2 linked regions of the Oryctolagus cuniculus genome follow. The protein of the gene in region 1 binds, or shares a complex with, the protein of each later gene. Links are inferred from orthologs where the notes say so. Each region holds a gene or a part of one and is shown in the gene's direction. Other genes may lie near its edges. The genes, in order: STRN3 and PDCD10.

Region 1 (4,376 bases):
GAACTTTCTGTGATAGGAGCCACATCTCCCCCAAGGAATAGGACTGAATAAAGAGGTTCTATCCCGTCACTTTAAAATGAAAACAATTGTATTTAATAATATGGACAAATAGTTCTTAATATTACTACAATCTAAGATCTCACTTTATGCATATATAAAATATGGCAGCATGGGTAGTTACGTCTAAGCTGTTTTCCATTAAACTATAGTAACAAGGCAAATGATCTACCACTTTATCTCTTTGAAATCGCAAGCCAAATGGTGCATCCCATAGTGAAACTTTTGTTAGTTTTTTACAAGAAAAAACATTTTAGAGATGCAACTAATTGTACACCCAGTTTCCCTGTATGACTGTAATTACTGACCCTCTTTTCTTTATATGCTGTTAGAGTATCTTTGTCCTTTTTTCAACAAACGATCACTAGCTGTATTAACGATTGGAAAGTTACTAGTTCGTTAGGATATTTCCTGGGAAACTAAGCACGTAAAAATTACACGACTGTCCTTATACACACTTACCTTTTATGTGTATATTATATTCATTCAAACATTTAATGACCCAGGAAAACATCTTTAGCCGTCCACCCAGGATTTTAAACTATATTCATGCTGCTTTTATCTTCTATTTAGATCAAAAGATTCTATCATTAATGAAAGTTCTTGCGAGCTCATTCAGTTCTAAAACGTAACCCATCTCCTTCAAAGTTATCTTTTCCTTTCTAGTCACCATCGTCAAAATCCAAAGGATCTCACTACCTCCTCTTCTCCCAAGGGGGGAAAAAAAGAAAGAAAACGACCGTTTCCAGCTCCCCTCCCCACCCGCTGAAACACGCCCGTCCCAGGATGGGAGGCAAAGTGTAACAGGTCGGCAGGCGACCCGGCGCCCAGAAGCGGGACCGACTCGGGCAGCCAGTCACCACGGCCGCGAAGATCCGGGCGATCTGCCAGAAAGAGAACGTCCCCCAATCCCGGGAACTGACTGGCGCTCAGAAACCGGAGACAGAGCGAGTGACAGGCAGAGAAAGAGCCCCAACCCTGTGGGACCGCCTGAAACACGCAAAGAATGCAACAGAAACGTCAGGAATTCAGGGTGGGCAGCAACCGGCCAGAGCGATCAACCAAGTTCAAACCCAGCTCCGAAGGCAGGCACATGGCTGAGACCCTCGGGCTGGGTAACGGCTCCCGGGCTCGGTCTACGAACAGGAAACTGACAGTCTCTCGTTCAAGGCCCAACTGGCTCCCAAAAGTGGGAGCTGGAGCCCCAGCTTTGCGGTAACCCGCGTCGGGACACTCGGCACGGGTCTGAGGGCGGGCCTGGGGGAGGAGCCGCGCTCCTTCCCCGCCCCCTAACAGCCGCCTCTCCGCGGCCGGACGGCGTCCTCAGTGCGCCTGCGTAGGGTGAGGCCGCACTCTATTTGGCCATTAAGCGTGCGGCGGCAGCGGCGTTCTATACCCGGCATGCCGTGCGGGAGCGGCGATCCTACGTCGATCCCTTTTCCAACCCTGCCTCCTTTCCCCCCGCCCGCCGCGGCCCCCCCTTCCCCTAAAGTGAGTGAGTGAGACCGGCAGATGGAGGAGGGACTGTAATGGCGGCGGCCGGCAGCTCCCTGCTCTGACCCACGGCAGGCACACAGCAACGACCCCCTCCCCGCCCCTCTCCCGGCGGCCTCCGCCCCGCCGCCAGCGCGGTGCCACCCTCTCCGGCCCTTCCCCCGGCAGTCGGCGTCTCGCCCTGTGCCCCGGCCGGGGCCCCTCACACAATGGACGAGCTTGCCGGAGGCGGTGGTGGAGGCCCGGGGATGGCGGCCCCTCCCCGGCAGCAGCAGGGACCTGGGGGGAACCTGAGCCTCTCGCCGGGAGGGAATGGAGCGGCGGGCGGCGGGGGTCCAACGGCCTCGGAGGGAGCGGGTCCCGCGGCAGGCCCCGAGCTGTCCCGGCCGCAGCAGTACACTATCCCGGGGATCCTGCACTACATCCAGCACGAGTGGGCTCGGTTCGAGATGGAGCGAGCGCACTGGGAGGTGGAGCGGGCCGAACTGCAGGTACCTCGCTGGGGTCGGTGTGCGGGACGGCGGCGGCGGCGGCGGGGATCCCGGCCGGGGGGTGGGGCCGGGGCTCTCCTCCGCCGGCGCCCGCGACTTGGGAGGCCGGGAGGCACCTACCTGTGCGGCTCGGGGGTGCTGGTCCTGGCGTCGGCTCTTCCTAGGTCCCCCTCCCCCTTTCCCGCAGAAGCCCGTTCCCCAACCCTCACTTAGCTACGCGGTACGGGCTCGCTCGGGGCAGCCATTTTGGCTTTTAGTATGGCGTCTGCGGGGGCTCCTCCGGAGGCGGCCTGCCCGGGCCTCCGGGACTTGAGGCCGATCTCCTCTGTGCCGGAGAGTCCGGCGTGGGGCCTCTGGACCCCGAGTTTGCTCTTGTTTGTTCCTCTTGAGGTTGCGACCCCGAGGAGAGGGCCGGGGTGAGCATCTTCCCACCTTTTTCCGGACACCCCCACCCCTTCCCATTTGACTTGGGTGGCCCCTTCCCGCGACTTGGTGGGCACTTGCCCCTTGACAGGCACGCTTCTTCCTCGGACTGCCGCCAAGCACAGTGGCTGGCGGCTGACCTGTGAAGTTTCCGTTTCCCACCGTCTACTCCTCAGTACTTTCTTACCTGGGATGCTGCTTTACTCTCCCTTGGCTTCTCTGTAGTTCTTCCTTACTTAGTGACTCATCAACGCTTTGAACACCGGACTTGACTTTTCAGAGTACCTTTCGCTAGACCTCCCCCTCTCAGCCCCGAGATGACCGCTAGAAAGCCAAACCAAACTAAGCTGCTGGATTTCGGAAACGGCTGAGAAGACTGAACATTTTTACTTGAAGTAAAGCGTACTTCTCTGACATTACTGACTCATGCAGGAGAAGCCGGCTTAAATGTCCTGAGGATCCTTCCTCTTACTGTGACCCTTGGATAGTCCGCGTTATCTAGCTTTTGGAAGATACTGGTAGCTGGGGGCTCCTGTCTTGCCTTTCAAAATTGTTGCACGTTTTTGAAAGGGTTATTTAACTTTTTTTTTTTTTTTTTTTTTTTTTTTTTTTTGACAGGCAGAGTGGACAGTGAGAGAGACAGAGAGAGAAAGGTCTTCCTTTGCCGCTGGTTCACCCTCCAATGGCCGCCGCTGCAGCCGGCGCACCGCGCTGATCCTGGCAGGAGCCAGGAGCCAGGTGCTTTTCCTGGTCTCCCATGGGGTGCAGGGCCCAAGCACCTGGGCCATCCTCCACTGCACTCCCTGGCCATAGCAGAGAGCTGGCCTGGAAGAGGGGCAACCGGGACAGAATCCGGCGCCCCAACCGGGACTAGAACCCGGTGTGCCGGCGCCGCAAGGTGGAGGATTAGCCTATTGAGCCACGGCGCCGGCTTAACTTTTTTGAATAGTTGTGTTTAAGCCCCTTTCTAGGGCAGATTTAGGTCTAGAGGAAAAACATGTATCTAAATAGTGTTGCACCTGTTCTTCAGGCTGTTAATATATTTAGGATGCAAGCGGTGTTGTGCCTCGTCATATATGCCTATGGTGCATATAGTTAGGAAAACAGTGTTGAAGGAAGATTGGATTACATAGAAAGGGTGTCCTCAAACAAATGTGAATCTCTTCAGTTTGATTTTTGAACTAGTGAACCAATGATTCCACTAAGTGGGTGAAGTTAAACGTCTTTAAAAAGTTAAAATATTTACATATTTTGATACTTTATCAAGTTTCAAAAAATTTACAAGTTTACACCTGTTGTGTTTTAGAACTGTGCTGTGCTATACTATAGGGCTTTAAAAATACAACTTTCAAAAAGCTGAGGTCTGTGATTTCTTTTAACTTGGGTGCAGCCTTCTCTAAAATACTGAGATTTGTAGAGTTCTGTTGGTGTATAGCTACACTGTGCTGGGAACTTAATTTTCTGTGTAAGTAGAGTGAAGCTAGTAAAAACAATTATCTTAAAAAATCGCACTGAGGCTTGGACTCAACTAAATTATATGCCACTGGTCCATGATGATTTTTTGACCTTTGTTGTACACAAGCTTTGATTTTAACACTTTGCAAGTTAACAGTTGTACTTGTTACTCATAAGCTTCCTTCATGTTACGTAGCTGAGGAAAAGTTTTACTGGTATGAAGTCTATATTGCCTGCCCTAGCTCTTGTTTTTCCTTCCAGTTCTCTTCTCCTTAGCAGCAACAGAAAAGTCCTTTAAGGAAGATTGCTTTTGCTCCCTGGCTTGAAATTGATCAGCTACTAATACAGTAGTTCTGACAGCTGTTCTAAGTTTTTGCTTGTTTTGAAGAAGTCTGACTGTGTCTCTGGACCCTTCATTTTTTCATTGTTTGACAATGATTCTTTTGGAATAAAATG
Region 2 (4,384 bases), on another chromosome or scaffold:
TCCAGAGTCGCTGGAAGGAAAGCTAAGTGCCCATCCACTAAAACACATTTTTACACTATTACTGGCAAAAGTTATACTTCCCACAGGTTCAGGGAGCACCCATCCTATCCCGCTGTTCCTGACTGCATTAGCTTAATACAGATCTCGGAATTCTACGGACCTGCATTACAACCACCTTGGATAACAGGTCCGCAGCGGACAATCTCAGCATCCAACGTACCCGCAGACGCTGAAGAAGAACGCAAAGTTATTTTCTAGGGATACAGTTCGGAAGTAATTCTGTATCAACGACGAGACGTTTGCTTTTCATCAGCTACGTACCGATCCAGAATACCGTCCACCCGGTCCTCAATCAGTAGGGGTTCCCTCAATCTTGAGACCTCCCACAACAGTTTGAATCGTGCAACTCAAACCAAAAACACCAACCACACCCTTTATACCCAGGGTCAAGCGACCTTTCTTTCTTTTTTTTTTTTTTTTCCTCCTCAAAGTCCAAAAATGTGCATCTTTCACCCGAAAGGGTTTGCCCCGGTTTTTCCAGCCGAAGGCAGACGGTCTGAGCTGTGCCCTGCTGCAACTGCTGTGCAAAGACGCTTCCTCCCGGGCAGTGTGCGGACGCCCCGGAAAACGCGCCCACGCTTACCTCCCGCACACCTGCCACCCTCGGCGGACGGCTGGAGCTGAGGCTCGAAGGGACTGCACTCCGCTCAGCTCCCGCTCCTGCTCGGGTCTCTCCCGGGAAACTACGGTCCAGGCTGCGCCTTCGGCTTCCACCGGGACCCAAGCTCCGCCTCTCCCTCCTCCAGTTGGCGAACTGGGCAGCTGTTGCTCCTCCCCCTGCTGTTCCTGCTGCTGCCGCCCGGGTCCCTGCCCGCTCCCTGCACTTTGGAAGCTGCTCCAGCCGCTTCCCTCGTACCGGGGGTCCCCCTTTCCTCCCACCCTCTCCCCGCTCTCACACCTGGACTTGTTCCCTTGCCGCGCCCTGGCGCCTCCGCAGGTAGCCCAGGCTCAGCCCATCGCTCCCCAACCTGCGGGTCTGGGGCTTGGCGGAGCTGCTTATCCCGGCCGCGGAGCGTCCCCGCACTCCCTGCACTCCAGGCTCCCTCTCTGCCCGCGCTGCAGACCCATTCCACCGGCCCCACGTTCCCTACCTCGGGCCCCCCCACCCGCTTCCGTCTTCTCCTCCGGCAGCCCGCCCCCTCCTTGGGTGAGGCGCCTACGGGGCCGACCCTGCACCCTGATTGGCGCAGGTGAGAGCCGGCCCCGCCCTTCCTCCCCTAGCCTTGCACCCTCTCTCTCCCTCTCACCTCCTCCCGCAAAGGCCGGGAACTCTCCTACTATTGGCTACGAGTGTCCCCACCCATCGCCTTAGGCTCTGCCGTATGGCCTGCCGGGAAGTGTAGTCCTAGGAGCGCAGGAATTGCAGACGACGCCGGCGAGCGAGACTACGAGTCCCCATAGGCCACTGCGCCTCTCCGGCTGGGCAGGATTCCGGACAACGCCTGGTTCCTCTCGGGTCCTTCCGGCGTCGCCGGAGTGAATTGATCCGGGAGTTGAAGAGGGCTCCAAAGGTGGGAAGTGAAGTCAGTGCCTCAGTTGCCGGTAAGGTGCGGGTGTTCTGCCCCTATCCCCGTGTCTCCGCGCGCGGTGGAAGAGGTCTGGGGTCACACAGGGGCCGGGGCTGAGGCACTCGGGCTTGGTACTGGCTGGCGGAGCGGACGGGGCTGGGAGCGGGGCCCTATGGGCGTAAGCGAGGTTACCCTACGCGAGTGGCGTAAAGCGGGTTTGTAAATGCCGCCTGCCCGCCCCGCTCGGGCCTGGACGCCTCCAGGAAGTGTGCTCTAGGTGGGGGCGGAGGGGAAGGGCGAGGTTGGCCTCTGGTTCCCCCCGAGAGGAGAGAGGGCGGATGTGCCTGGGGTGGGGTCCTCCGAAGGTGTGGCTTGGGGCGGGAGAGGTAAGGCTGCTGTTTCCCCCTTGCTTCGTAAGTGTGGCTGGGGAAGGAGGGGTTGCTTGGAAGTCTTCGCTCCGGGGTGACTGGGGTTATGCCCTTTGAAGGAAAAGGAGAACGGAGTAGGAAGAGTCAGATGTTGACAGATCGGCGGATTCTGAGTGTTTTGAGATGGGGTCCCTGAGCAGAACCGCTCGACCCTGTTGAGGGTGTGATACCCAAGATAGGTTTGTTTACGGCTGGAACTGCTTTCGAAGAGCTTTCCCGTCAGGATGCTGTTGAAGAAATTGAGGGAGTAAATGACGTGCCCAAGGTCACACAGGCAGGGACTTGGTCCTGAACAGGACAGAGATGCCGGCGGAGTCACAAAGTGCGGAGACGGGCCGTGTTTCTTGAGGAAGGTGGAGGAAGTGACACAGTAATGGTATTTTATGGATTTCTAAGAAGCTATGAGTGATTGAAGGGTGACTTTTTTTTCCCTCTCTCTCTCTCTCTCTTTTTTTTTTTTCTAAACTGGGGTGAAATTCCTCACTGAAGCACTTTCTCTGACCTTTTTGAAAAATAAAAAGGATCAGTATCAGTTACGTATTTTGTCCTTTATTGGGGCTATATTAACGATCGACTTCTCCCACAGTCCATTTTTAAAAGTAGATAGTGAAATAGGAGAAAGTCATTTAAACAGTGTATTCCATCCTTACTGTGAAAAGGATATATTCCTTTCCCTTCCTGCCTTAGGTGGTTTTTCCACTCTCATGTTGTAAAACTGAGAACAGTGGGGATGGAATTCTTTAACAAAACTTACTGTGCACTTTTTTTTTGTTTCAAATAATGCAACATTAAGGAGAGTTTAGTGTGCTCATTACTAGAAAAGAAGATAACATTGCATTTCTTGGAGGTAACATATTTTTGTGATTCATTTGCTTCTCCCCTCTTTGATTCTGTGTGTGTGTGTAAATAAAAGAATGAGGCTCTTACATATTTTAATTTTCTCAGCATCATCTGTGACTTTTTAAATTTTTTTAAAGATTTATTTTTATTTATTTGAAAGAATTACACAGAGAGGTAGAGACAGAGAGAGAGGTCTTCCATCCAACAGTTCACTCCCCAGATGGCCACAACCGCTGGAGCTGTGCTGATCTGAAGCCAGGAGCTTCCTTCAGGTCTCCCACGTGGGTGTAGGGGCCCAAGGACTTGGGCCATCTTCTACTGCTATCCCAGGCCATAGCAGAGAGCTGGATTAGAAGTGGAGCAGCTGGAACCAGAACTGGCACCCGTATGGGCTGCTGGCGCTTCAGGCCAGGGCTTTAATCTGCAGCGCTACAGTGCCAGCCCCTATCTGTGACTTTTAATTCATTCTTAGTTTGTATTAAAGAATGGAAAAGCAGGACACATTTCATATGGAGTAGAAACTAATGCACCTCTCCCAGTCTTATCTCCTGTAATTGTTACGACCCAGGACAGCTCCTCAGTATTAATACTGAATAGTTTTTTTTTTTTAATAGAAATGTGGGAATATGTTCATTGATGTCAGGATTTTTTCACATTAAGTTTATATTCATAAATAATCTATTTGCAGTTGGCAATCATCTGTCATGGTTTATTGTTATCTAAGTTGACCATTGAAATACATTGTATTTTGAACACACTATAAATATTAATATTAAATGTGTGTAATTTTTAAATGCAGCAGTATTTTCTAGGATCAAATGTATCATATTCCCATATTATGGAAGTTAAGATGGTCTGGAAATTGATACAACTTTAAAATGGAAGGAGAGGTATGATAGTATAGAATCAAGTGAAATCGAGAATAATAAGCACCATAAGCAAAATAGTGCACCTGTAAGGAAGAGTCAACCAAACAGGTGGAAAATTGTGTGGAGTTAACTGGCTTTGTGTCAAATTAGAAAGGTGAAGTAGTTTAAGTAGACCATAGATGCATTAGTAAGTGGTGGTAAGCAAGAATGTTAATACATTTTCTAGATGGCAGTGTAAATATTTGCTTTTGTTGGGCACGGTGTGAAATGAGTTCTGACTTTTGGCATGCAGCTGTGTGGTTATGAAAAGAGTTTTTGAACTAGAGAAATTTTGGAAATAAGTGAAGTTAATATAATCTACTTGTTCAGCATATATCAGTTTTTGTTCTTGGTTCAGTTTACCATGAATTTTTCTTTATCTCTGAGATTCATTTCAGTTTTGATATTTCACCTCTGCTGGAATGTCATTGGAATGTTTCTCTTACATTTATCATCTTCCGGCCACATGCTTGAGTACAGTGATCATTTGCATATTGGATAATTAAGAGAGTTCACAGAGTGATGTGTGCATCTGTGTGCACTTTACTGTTATCCACATTTGTTCTCATTTTGGGGTTTACAAATAGAAGAAGAGAGGCCATGTTGTATTTATCACTGTAGTCTCAGTAGATGGCATAGG

The links.
Region 2: STRN3 (region 1) and PDCD10 share a complex: the UniProt entries of both Homo sapiens proteins name them as parts of the core of STRIPAK complex. The link is inferred for Oryctolagus cuniculus from reciprocal best matches to the Homo sapiens genes STRN3 and PDCD10.

The regions. Positions count from the first base shown.
Region 1 is NC_091443.1:44,334,535-44,338,910, forward strand, and holds the start of STRN3 (striatin-3), read left to right. Parts: upstream 1-1,373; 5' UTR 1,374-1,760; coding exon 1,761-2,042; intron 2,043-2,046; exon of another isoform or gene 2,047-2,089; intron 2,090-2,162; exon of another isoform or gene 2,163-2,394; intron 2,395-2,652; exon of another isoform or gene 2,653-2,809; intron 2,810-4,376. UniProt on the Homo sapiens protein: Calmodulin-binding scaffolding protein which is the center of the striatin-interacting phosphatase and kinase (STRIPAK) complexes.
Region 2 is NC_091435.1:112,788,216-112,792,599, forward strand, and holds the start of PDCD10 (programmed cell death protein 10), read left to right. Parts: upstream 1-1,422; 5' UTR 1,423-1,602; intron 1,603-1,813; exon of another isoform or gene 1,814-2,372; intron 2,373-4,384. UniProt on the Homo sapiens protein: Promotes cell proliferation. Modulates apoptotic pathways. Increases mitogen-activated protein kinase activity and STK26 activity. Important for cell migration, and for normal structure and assembly of the Golgi complex.